Linked DNA regions of Caenorhabditis elegans. Changing the gene in region 1 together with any one later gene gives a genetic interaction. Each region holds a gene or a part of one and is shown on either strand. Other genes may lie near its edges.

Evidence for each region.
Region 2: changes in eaf-1 (region 1) and pha-4 impair growth when combined (synthetic growth defect), as found in Caenorhabditis elegans (one large-scale study listed by BioGRID).
Region 3: changes in eaf-1 (region 1) and ruvb-2 impair growth when combined (synthetic growth defect), as found in Caenorhabditis elegans (one large-scale study listed by BioGRID).

Annotation. Positions count from the first base shown.
Region 1 is NC_003279.8:4,601,379-4,604,836, forward strand, and holds eaf-1 (Ell-associated factor Eaf), read left to right. Parts: upstream 1-1,838; 5' UTR 1,839-1,844; coding exon 1,845-1,959; intron 1,960-2,037; coding exon 2,038-2,678; 3' UTR 2,679-2,818; downstream 2,819-3,458. Other genes in the region: nrd-1 (CID domain-containing protein), read right to left, coding at 1-136, 206-725, 772-1,030, 1,100-1,261; D1007.8 (Nucleic acid-binding, OB-fold protein), read left to right, coding at 3,025-3,240, 3,289-3,458.
Region 2 is NC_003283.11:20,750,904-20,754,661, forward strand, and holds the start of pha-4 (Defective pharyngeal development protein 4), read left to right. Parts: upstream 1-2,148; coding exon 2,149-2,190; intron 2,191-3,758.
Region 3 is NC_003282.8:6,917,736-6,921,493, reverse strand, and holds the start of ruvb-2 (RuvB-like 2), read left to right. Parts: upstream 1-2,087; 5' UTR 2,088-2,095; coding exon 2,096-2,137; intron 2,138-2,230; coding exon 2,231-2,368; intron 2,369-2,421; coding exon 2,422-2,550; intron 2,551-2,601; coding exon 2,602-2,878; intron 2,879-2,924; coding exon 2,925-3,315; intron 3,316-3,366; coding exon 3,367-3,519; intron 3,520-3,758. Other genes in the region: T22D1.18 (Transposase), read left to right, coding at 1,331-1,537. UniProt on the Caenorhabditis elegans protein: Possesses single-stranded DNA-stimulated ATPase and ATP-dependent DNA helicase (5' to 3') activity suggesting a role in nuclear processes such as recombination and transcription.

The DNA.
Region 1 (3,458 bases):
CAATGTTAAAGCTGCTGACGATGTTGGAACAATATGTTCGCCTGGGAACGGAAGACCAAATGGATTTCCTTGAGGTATCAAGACTTCAGCGAGTTTTGCGAGTATTTGAGGTTGAGTAAGCAAACTTTGAGCCAATCTAGAATTTGAAAAAAAAATTAGAAACATTCTGGAATTAAGAAAAAAATAAAATGCATCAAAAACTCACAACAGGACTTGAGCATGTGGCAGATTTTTCTGTTTCTCTGGTTGTGGTTCCTTTTCCTTCTCTTCTTCATCATCCGAGTATTCAAAATCTTTTGTTAACACATTCTGTATACTACTTCCATTAATCCGATTATTCTCCGCTAGAACTTCTTCTACTTTTTGACTCAAGGATCCAGCGAATATTTGAAGTGCTCTCTGGAGAAGATTCTTGTCCTTACTTAAAACTCCACTGCGATCTATGCCGAACTTCTGAACCAATTCCAACATTTCTCTCTCAGAAATAGTTCCAAGGAAGTAATCTTCAGAAAGCACAAAGTTCGGAATATCTGGGACAGATCTCAGAGCAGATGATGGTCCAGCACCGAGAAGTCCATCATCCGGATGTGGATTTGTAGGAGTACGAGATTTCGGTTGAGACGATGATGAAGACCTTTTTGGCTTTTTCTTGTAAACTCCGGAATAAATGCTCATATCAGCCTGTTTTCCCTTCACGGCGAGCTCAACTTCCTCGAAATCGATAGCTAAAAATCAAACTTTTTTTTTGAATTCTCCACCATAATTACTTACTTAATCCAGAAGCCTTGCACATCTCTCTCAGTGGTTGAATCTCTGATTCCTTGAAAACTTTATTGGACATCCACAAATTAAGAGTTCTAACTGTTCTCATTTTCTCTTTCTGTCCACACTTTAACAGCGGCATCAAAAACTTGTCAAACTGCTTCATAAACCGTGGGCCAAATGTGTCTTTTTCTTTAAGTTGATGTTTTGAAGCACGGACTATTGAATCGATTACATAGAGCACATTTAGACGTTGATCTGGCTTGCACTGAAAAATCATTAATAAAAATAAATAAATTATTTAATTTAAATTTCGATTTCTCGAAATCATTCTAACCTTATTGATAAGTTTTTCAACTGAAAAAACCACATGCTTATATTGGCTTTTTGCTTTGATCGCAGCCTTTGTTATATCCTGAATCTTGTTCTTGCTCATGTTTTTCGAGTCGAATAGTGACGACAATTCATTATTAAACGATTTCATCACTTCCGTCTCCATGGTGATCCCACTGATGAGAGTTTTGTTCTGAAAAAAGCCAATTCAAATTAAAATCGATAATGCGAAGCGAGAAAATAAACTGAATAAAAGGAATAGTGGAAAGATACAATTGCAGAATTAAGAGTAAAGGTGGATGTGCTAATTTTAACGAATAGCAAATATTCCAAACGCTTATTTTTGAAAAATCGATAAATGCGATATGTCGACGGTTTAAAATCCAATGTAAACTATTTTCCCACTAAGTTTTTTCATGATTTTGATACTTTTTCAGTAGTTGAATATAATTTAATAATTTATGTACAAATTCATCTAATTATAGCGTTTTGAATGAAAATAGGAAAGAAAGCCGGCATAAAAATGGTAAAGCGCCGAGGTCAACACTGTGCCGCACACTTGCAAAACGGCGTGCCAGGCTTGCCAACCGAAGACTCCGCCCACAGCTAATGGTACTCTCGCGCACACAATTGGCACTATTCTGAAGAATTTCATTGTAATATATAATAAAATTATCGATTTTTTTTTCAAATTAAAAAATTCAAAATATTCACATATGATTTAATAATAATCATTTTTTCAGTTTCACATGGCAGAGTCAAGTGATATTCCGAATGGTACTTACACCTTGACCCTCGGGAAGTCATTTGAAGTAAAAGGACGGAAAAGTGACCCTAAGGCAGAGCAATTTCACACGCTAAGATGTAGGTTAACTGCACAATTTTAAGATTAAATATATCAGAAATTTAAAAATATAAAATCGAAATAGCTAAAATTTACAGACGATTTCAAGCCAAGCTCTGTATCAAACAATGCCGACACCTTCATAGCGTTTGGGAACAGCGGTGATGTACATGTCTCTGTACCAAGCGAAGGAGACAATATGACTGTATATAAAGGATCGAAAAAAGAAGCAAAACCGAAAGAATGTCTTCTGTTCTTCGACAAAAAGACCAACACAGTTCGCTTGGAGAAAATTACGAGCAATATTAATGTAAAAAAGACGAGAGATCTAGATCAAGGAACAGAACTCGCATTGAAACGTGGAATCGAAAGATTGAGAACTTCTTCTAATAATCAGCGATCTGGACCATCTTCACCGGAGGAGAAAGCGAAAATTCAGAAACAAATGCAGAGAGATACATCAGATTCGAGTAGTGATTCTGATGGATCATCTGATTCCGACAAATCGAATGGCGATTCCAGTGATGATGAAGATGAGAGCGAGAAGATATTATTGGAAGAAATGAAAAAGCCCAAACCATATACAGAAAGAGAACCCGCACCGCCTTCGTCTTCAAATACCTACAATCACAAAGAAAGCCACGTGGCTCCCTATATATCAAGTAGTGGAAATAAAAACAAAGATTCTGAGGAGAAGTATGGATTGGCACTTAGCGAAAGCTCCGACGAAGATGACTAATTTTAAAACATAATATTATTCAGTGTATTCAACCGTCTTTCTTGTGTACTTGTACTAGTGGTGGCAGTTATTTGCTTCTGTGATTTTTTATTTATTTCAAAACCGGGCTATCTATCGCAATCATAAATTTTTTCATTCAGGCTATTCAACAGTTTTATTTTTTCAGGTTTTCTGTTTAATCCGTGCACTATTTTAAAGTCGAACTAAAGTTTCTCTGAAATTTTTAAAATTCGCTGAAACCATTTTATCAATAGAGCATGCTTCTTGCGCTAAACAGTGTCGTTTGTAGACGTCGATTTTATCTTCAAATTTCTGTGTTTTTCTCACATATTGTTCATGATTTCAGATGGAAACTCACCGGTATATTCCAGAACATGCCGTCCCAATGCCGATTTCAGCGCTATTCAATTCAACAAAAGAACGAATCGAGTACGGAACGGCAGACGTTGTTCGCGTTCAAGTGATGGGTGTAATCGAATCTGTGAAGTTCGGAGATTCTGATGTAGAATACATGATTACTGATAAAGATAATCATAATATTTTGGTTCAAAAAATCCTCACCGTTAGTCTGAATATATCGTGTAACATTGGAAAAAAGTATTAATTTCAGGCTTCTTTCACCGAAGAATCTGCCAAGAAGTTCAACGTCGGGGACCGTGTTGAAGTATTCGGAAAAGTTCGAATTTTGGAGAATGGAAAGAAGTTTTTGAACGCATTTTCGATGCACAAAGCTTCAGATGAACAATTCGCCGCTTTTCAAATAATCTGCCGTTTTTCAGA
Region 2 (3,758 bases), on another chromosome or scaffold:
AAAAATTAATTTCTAAAACTTCATCTTAAAATAAACCAATTTTTTTTTCATTTTAAATTATTTGTTTCGAATCCGAAATGTTTGAATGTCTTGAAAAATTAAATCCCAAATTTTCCAAATCAGATACTTCCTATATCTATTAAGTTTTCATTGAAAAAATCTGAAAATTAACAGTTTCTGAATAGATATTAAAGTGTTGGGTAGAATGGGAAAGACAAATAATGATTGGATGTAAAGATTTCCAAAAACTTTATTAATGCATTTATATAAAAGTTATAGTCATTTCTTATCAGAAAAACTATACCATGGCCCTTGATAAGAAAGATTAGATTTTTAGCCCGCCAATAGGACTATCATAACTGCGTTCATGTTGTTCACATGCATTATATCTGTAAATCGCACATGGGTGCGACTACTTAACCGGACAATAGGTCTCTATAGGTCTCTGAAAGTGAATACAGAGGTGCTGAGAATAAGATCATACAGCTGGCTGTATTAATATCTGGGAAAATCATAATTTTTTGGATTTTTAAATCAAAAAAAAAAAAGATTGGTAATCCCTATTCCCCTTAACAAAGAAACGATAGCAAAGGCCTAAAGAATAGTGTTACAAAAGATTCTACCGACGATGAGCTATGCGGAAAGCGGAACCATTAAACTTTTGTCAAAAGGTGATAATGGACCATCTAACTTATTGGTCACTTTCCTGTCTTTGTAACTATTATGTTGATAACCCTCATTATCAGTGCCCTTGATGGACGGAGCAACGAGAGGGCAATGCTGTGAACGTCTCTTTTGATACAGTAACTATCCATTGGGAGATTAGTCATTCCTGAACCTAATACTAGTTTCGGATGCTTGGGTGTGGTATGCAATGAAAAATCAATGAGACGGAACTTGAACTCTGTTTTTTGTGAATCGTTGAAATGATTCACCTGTTCCAAGTTATTTTTGGGAGTATTAGCGTCTCATTGATTTAACTTTCTTATTGCTTTTTTTTGATTTACAGTAATTATTATACCAGTATTGAACACTTTAATAGTCTCGCACAGACTTGTTACCAGATGTACCGTATCTATTAATTAAAAAAAATAAATCGGAACGATTTGAAATTTTGAAAATTGTGAAAATTTTAATTTTCGTGCCTAAAACAGCATCAAGCAAATTTTTTGTCAAAGCTTGATTCTTTTTCTCAAGGTTTTCAAAAATTCAAAAGTTAGTACTGTGCCTTCAATAAAACTTGTAGTCTCTTAGTCTTACACACCAACGGACCAATGGACATTGTATGAATGACTGAAACAAAAAATATATTATACTTTTTTGTGATATCTTTTTAAATTGCCCTTTGTTAATACTACCTAATTCTTAACTGCTATTAACTGCTACACAACTAGCCTTATCTTGCTCCCATAACGTATCTAAATGTCGCGCGCGCGGCGTCCGTCCTCTTATGTATCTGTACCAGTCACAAAATTGTGTTGATGAAAAAGGCAAGAAGAAGAAGAATGGCAGTTGAGGGTGAGAAATTTATTTTTCCTATTGTCGTGGGGGAGATTGGACGGTTTCATTTTTTCAAATGAGATATTAAAACATGATTAGGAAGAGTTGAGATTAGCTGATTGTGAGCTTAATGATAGTTTTTGGAGTTCAATGTTAAACTTTCCATTTCTACACCACTATACGATTCTGGGTCACTAAACACCCTTGCTCAGACGGCTTTTCAAAGAAACACCATCTCCCCTCTCCACCACCCTACGCCTGTACAAAATGACTCAAAAGGGCACCGCGCCCGCTCTCGGTCTCCGATCACTCAGTCTCTCTCTCTCCCTCCACAACCCAAAAAGGAGGCTTGCAGAAGTAGAGAAGCAGAGAGTGACGATCGCTGTCTCCAGGTGTCCGTGTCAAACTCTCTTATCAATCAGTGCTCTTTTTCTCTCGTGTTACTGCGTCTCTATGTCCATTCCCTTCTACTCATTCCCATACAGCCCCCTTCTACACCACCATCATCACCATCACACTGTCACAGTGTTGATAACGAAGAGTCGTATCAAGAGACCTAACAAAATCACCCAACCCCAGCCAATATTACCTTATACACCCTATCTGTCCACTGCGTATTTTTTGAAGGACTATCTAATTTGAGATACAATGACATCGCCATCCAGTGATGAGGACATTATTGATATAAGGGTAAGGCACCAGTTATTTTCTGCTTCATGCATCGTTTTTTTTTAAAATTGTTCGGGGCCTCTGAAAACGTTTTTGTTAGCTCCCGGCTGTATGCTCACTTTTTTCGAAATTAAAAACTTACAACCATCTTTGCCACACATGTTTAATCTATTTCTGCAGCTACCTTTCTATTTCTCTTCTGAAACAATCTGAAAATGAGCACCTTCTGTGTATAATAGCACATAAGTGCTCATTAACAGGGGATACTCGATGTCAATATGACCCGGCCAGGATGCTAGGTTGCCACCTATTATTGCTCCATTGGTATTCTGGGAAGATGCACATTTTGAGAATATCATGAACATCTGTGATTTGTCAGAAATAGTTTAGGTTATTGTTCAGCTTACCATATTTTCTTCAAACATCACTACAAACTTTTTTAATGACATTAAATACATTTTTTCTAAGTTCAATAGCTTTTTTGGAATTTGAATGTTAGTCATGAACTCTTAAAATATGCAAGGCTCAAAAAGTGAAATTGTTAAAACTTTCTTTTAAGATTTTTTTATCGATTCTCTTTTCGGAGAGATACAATGAAAATTTGATTCTCACGGTCCACGCACAAAGTTTTTTCTTCGTTTTGCTAGAAAAAATTTCTATGGAACAATTTGAACATGTTTTGAAACACTGTGGAAAATTAAAAGTTTTCATATTTCGATAATAAGAGCTCCCGAAAAAAATGCTCCAAAAACAAAACTCGGGCCATCCAAATATTTTTTGTTTCGATGGATGAAATGCGATATTCACCGAAGGGGCACCACCACCAGTGGCTCCGAAAGCTTCCACCCAAAAATGGGAGCCTCCTAGACGTATATTTTGTGCTCTTTTCTACTCTCTCGCTCCTCCTTCCCATGCAAATATTTGACAATTTCGCAGTGTGTATGTGATATCAGTTTTTGTTTGCCAATTGTTGTTTCTTTTATTTGCCATGTTCGTTTCACACGGTTTCAGTGATAAATATGTGATAAGCTTCAAGACGAACCTAATTTTTTTAGAACAAAATATGACGAAATGGGGTTCAAAAGTTTGGATTTACCATGGAAAATGTTTTTCTCACTTTACAATTACTATTCTTATAGACATGAATTTTCTTTTTCCTAAAAACGTCCCACACTTTTTGATTCTAATATACCTACACCTATTTTGAAATAATGAAATCATATCGAGTGAGTATTGATAAGAAACCTCTTCTTCCGCCTACACTGCTTTCTACTCTATTTTACGATTATTGATTATTTTGGAGAAGTGTATAAGATAATGAGTCAGCGCAGTTAATGCTCAATAATAACAGGTGCTAAAAAATAGGCGGCAGATGGATGATAGTCGTCTCAAGTTTTTTTACGATTTTGAATCACAGCTGGAAAAAACGACTGTTAGGGCGAACATCTGGACCCAGAAATATTCATTCAAAATTTGCTTGAAAGAACCATTCAAAATCGGACTAAAAACGGCGGCAATAGTAAAAGGAAATAGTTTTTAAAAAAAGGCGAATCGGCAAACTGCCGGTGCCGGATATCAGATTTGCCGGA
Region 3 (3,758 bases), on another chromosome or scaffold:
GAAAAACAATTAACATAAAAATTACCAAAATTAACCTTTATAAGTGCTGAAACATTTTAGAAATACCACAGAGTACCTTCAGCATCTGGAAAATTCTGAGGGCTCCAAAATTTAAAAACAAGTTACATCCAAATAATTATATATTTAATTTGCAGTTTTCATGATTTTTTATTCAAAATTTAAACGCATACATGTCTTGTAAGTTAAAATTAGTAATCTTAACAGTATAAAGGAAACTTTAAATGTATAATAGTACTCATAGATAATATACAGTATCGCAACTTTAAAAGATATCCATTTTTCTGAAACCACGTTATTCTGATCTTTCACACATTTCTTCAAAACTTTGTGAACAGTTTGACTGAATTAATTAAACATAATGGCTTGAATGCCATCTCCGTCTGTTTCAACAGATATGAATCTATTCTTTCACAAATCCACTGCGTCATTCAGGACTTCATTTATCTTCCTATTGATTCTTCAATTCACTCCGATTAAGTTTTACTATTTGATGAAAGTTCAACTTCATCGTCATTTGAATTATGTGCTCTCTTTATTTCTGGTATTATTGTTTCTGATTTATGTATTCTCAAGAACAGACTTACATTTAAACAGTGTCTAATGTTGTTTTGTGTGAATTGCAATGAGAGTTTATAATTTTTGTGACTAATTTTCATTTTGACCTTTGAAGAAATAAACGATTTTTTTGTTGTTGGGTTATTTTTATGTGTATAGTAAAATTGAAATGATTTGCTTCTTAATATTTTTGATACCGTATATTCTCTATTAGTTCGGCACCCCCAATTGCTCAACTTTGACAGCTTATATCTCGGATTTAAGCCAAAAATTTCAACTAAGAACATCTTTGTTAAATCTTTTTCTTTTTCTATGTTTTTCATTTTTCGATATCTTCAAAAGCGTGCGAGTTACATATACGCTATTAAAATAGAGCGGTTGAGGTGCCGCACTAATAGAGAATATGTGGGATATAGAGCTCTTTTCGAATGTACAGCGTATCTGTTAAATTTCTGTGATAGTTTTTGAAAATTAGTTTCTGAAAATGAAAACTTATAAGTAGGTTACGATAGAATCATGGAATCGACTGCTACAGCACTTTCCGAAAGTTTGAATTCAGGATATGCAGGATTTCTACCAAAACGTTCCACCGCCTCGGATTTAATTCTCTAAAATCGTATTTCCTAGCCAGAAAAAAGACTTGCCACGTGTAAGCGAGAAGACAAGGCAAAGGCTTGATAGCAATCTTCGCTTCTAAGCATATGCTTTGAAAACCCCGCATACAGCCTCATCGTCGCCCTCATTTCTCTTCCAAATGGCTAACATTGTACCTATTCATAAATCTTTAGAGTATTCACTGGTTGATGTACCACTTCTTTGTAAGAATGATGATCCGAATGATGAGATTGTGATCTATAGCAAATATTCGAATTCAAGAAGATTTATTGATTGGGCTCTTGTTATCACTGTGGCAATTACAGCATGCTATTCCTTATTCACATTGAGCAAATTTTATCTTTGAATTATTGGGAAAAAAGGTTTTGATTGATTTCTTTTGGCATTTTAATTAATTTCTTCAGAAATGATCCCGGCAATCGAACTTGAACATTCTGGTAAAAAAAGAGCATCTAAGTATTCAATTGCGCTTTTTTTCTATATTTATCTTTTTTATAATTGGTTTTATACATAAGATTTTATAAGTTCTGATTTTTTTAATTGATAAAATAAATACATTTATTTATGCTCGATTGATCAAATTTGAAAACATTTTACAAGGCTCATAAAGATTAAATTAATTTTCTTTAATATCCAGTCACTTTCAAAAACTTGACCGACCAAAATAACTTTAAATGCTTAATTTATAAATTTTTTTAAAATTAATTTATCCAACTCCAGATCACGTTGCTATATAATTAGAGAGTGAGACGCAGAAAGTGCGAGTTGACGCACTTCTCGTGCCCCTTGATTGACGCTTTTTCTGTGGTTGGCGCGTTTCGTGCGCGCGATTTTCGAATTTTAGGTTCACTTTTTCCGAATTTCAGCAAATTTTCAGCTTTATATTTCAATTTCAGACATCAAAATGGCGACATTGGACGGAATTAATGTGAAAGATATTGTAAAGGTATTTTGTTGCTCATATATTCAATTTTTGTGTTCAATTTAGCATATTTTCTAATAAAATCTAGGTTCAATTGCATTACAGTATATTTTCCAGGTTGAACGCACCTCCGTACATTCACATATTACTGGTCTAGGTCTTAATGATCGTTTAGAAGCTGAATATGTGTCTGGAGGAATGGTCGGCCAGGTTGCCGCTAGACAAGCTGCAGGACTTATTGTCAAAATGATTCAGGTAATGTTTTCTGCACAAAAATTCAAAACTAAAATTGCTACTATATTTTTTAGGAGGGAAAAATTGCCGGACGTGCTCTTCTTGTGACAGGAGAGCCTGGAGCTGGAAAGACTGCTATCGCCATCGCAATTTCCAAAGAACTTGGTGAGGACACCCCATTTGTCAGTATTGTCGCTTCAGAGGTTAGTCTAATGTTTTTTTTCAGATTAATAAATATCTTTTTTAAATTTCAGATTTATTCAAACGAAATCAACAAAACAGAGGCACTTACTCAAGCTTTTCGACGTGCTCTGGGAATTCAGATTAAAGAAGAAACTGAAGTTTTGGAAGGAGAAGTGATCTCGTTGGAAGTTGATCGGTCAGCAAATGGAATGGGACCAAAGGTCGGAAAACTCACAATGCGTACAACTGATATGGAAACTATCTACGATCTTGGATCAAAAATGGTTGATGCGTGTCTGAAAGAGAAAGTGATGCCCGGTGATGTTATTCAAGTTGATAAGGCTTCTGGTGAGAATTTTATTTAATCAAAAAACTGAAAAATTATCGTTTTTAGGACGTGTTACTCGACTTGGCCGTTCATTCAACCGTTCCCACGACTATGACGCAATGGGTCCAAAAGTGAAGCTTGTTCAGTGTCCAGATGGAGAAATTCAAAAGAGACGTGAAACTGTTCACACAGTTTGTCTTCACGACATTGACGTCATCAATTCTCGTACCCAAGGATACGTGGCACTCTTCTCAGGAGACACTGGAGAGATCAAAGCAGAAGTGAGAGATCAGATTAATAAGAAGGTTTTGGAGTGGAGAGAAGAGGGAAAAGCAAAGTTTGTACCAGGAGTATTGTTTATTGATGAAGCTCATATGCTTGATATCGAATGCTTTTCGTTCCTCAACAGAGCCATCGAAGGCGAACTCAGTCCCTTGATTATCATGGCCACCAACAGGTTTGCAAATATATTTTTTTTAATATTGAGTTTTTAATTAAATATCTTTAGATTGATCGAAAAAGTGCGTGGAACAGATGTCGAATCTGCTCATGGCATCCCATCTGATTTCCTTGATCGTATGCTCATCATCAACGCGATCCCATATACTAAAGAAGATACAGCAAAGATTTTGTCAATTCGATGTGATGAAGAAGGAGTCAAGTGAGATATATCTTTTAAAAACGCTCCACCGGCAATTGGAAACGCTCTGTCCCCGATCCATGGGTCTTGTTAGGAAAATGGCGACAAAACCGTGAATTCAAACGTTTTTCGATCAGCTTCGCAGATTTCGCCAAAATTTAGGCATTTTTCCGATGTTTTAGTGGTTTTTTGAGCTGAATGAGGTTTTTTTTATTTGACTGAATTTTATTTTATCAGTCTGCATAAAAATCACTAAGAAA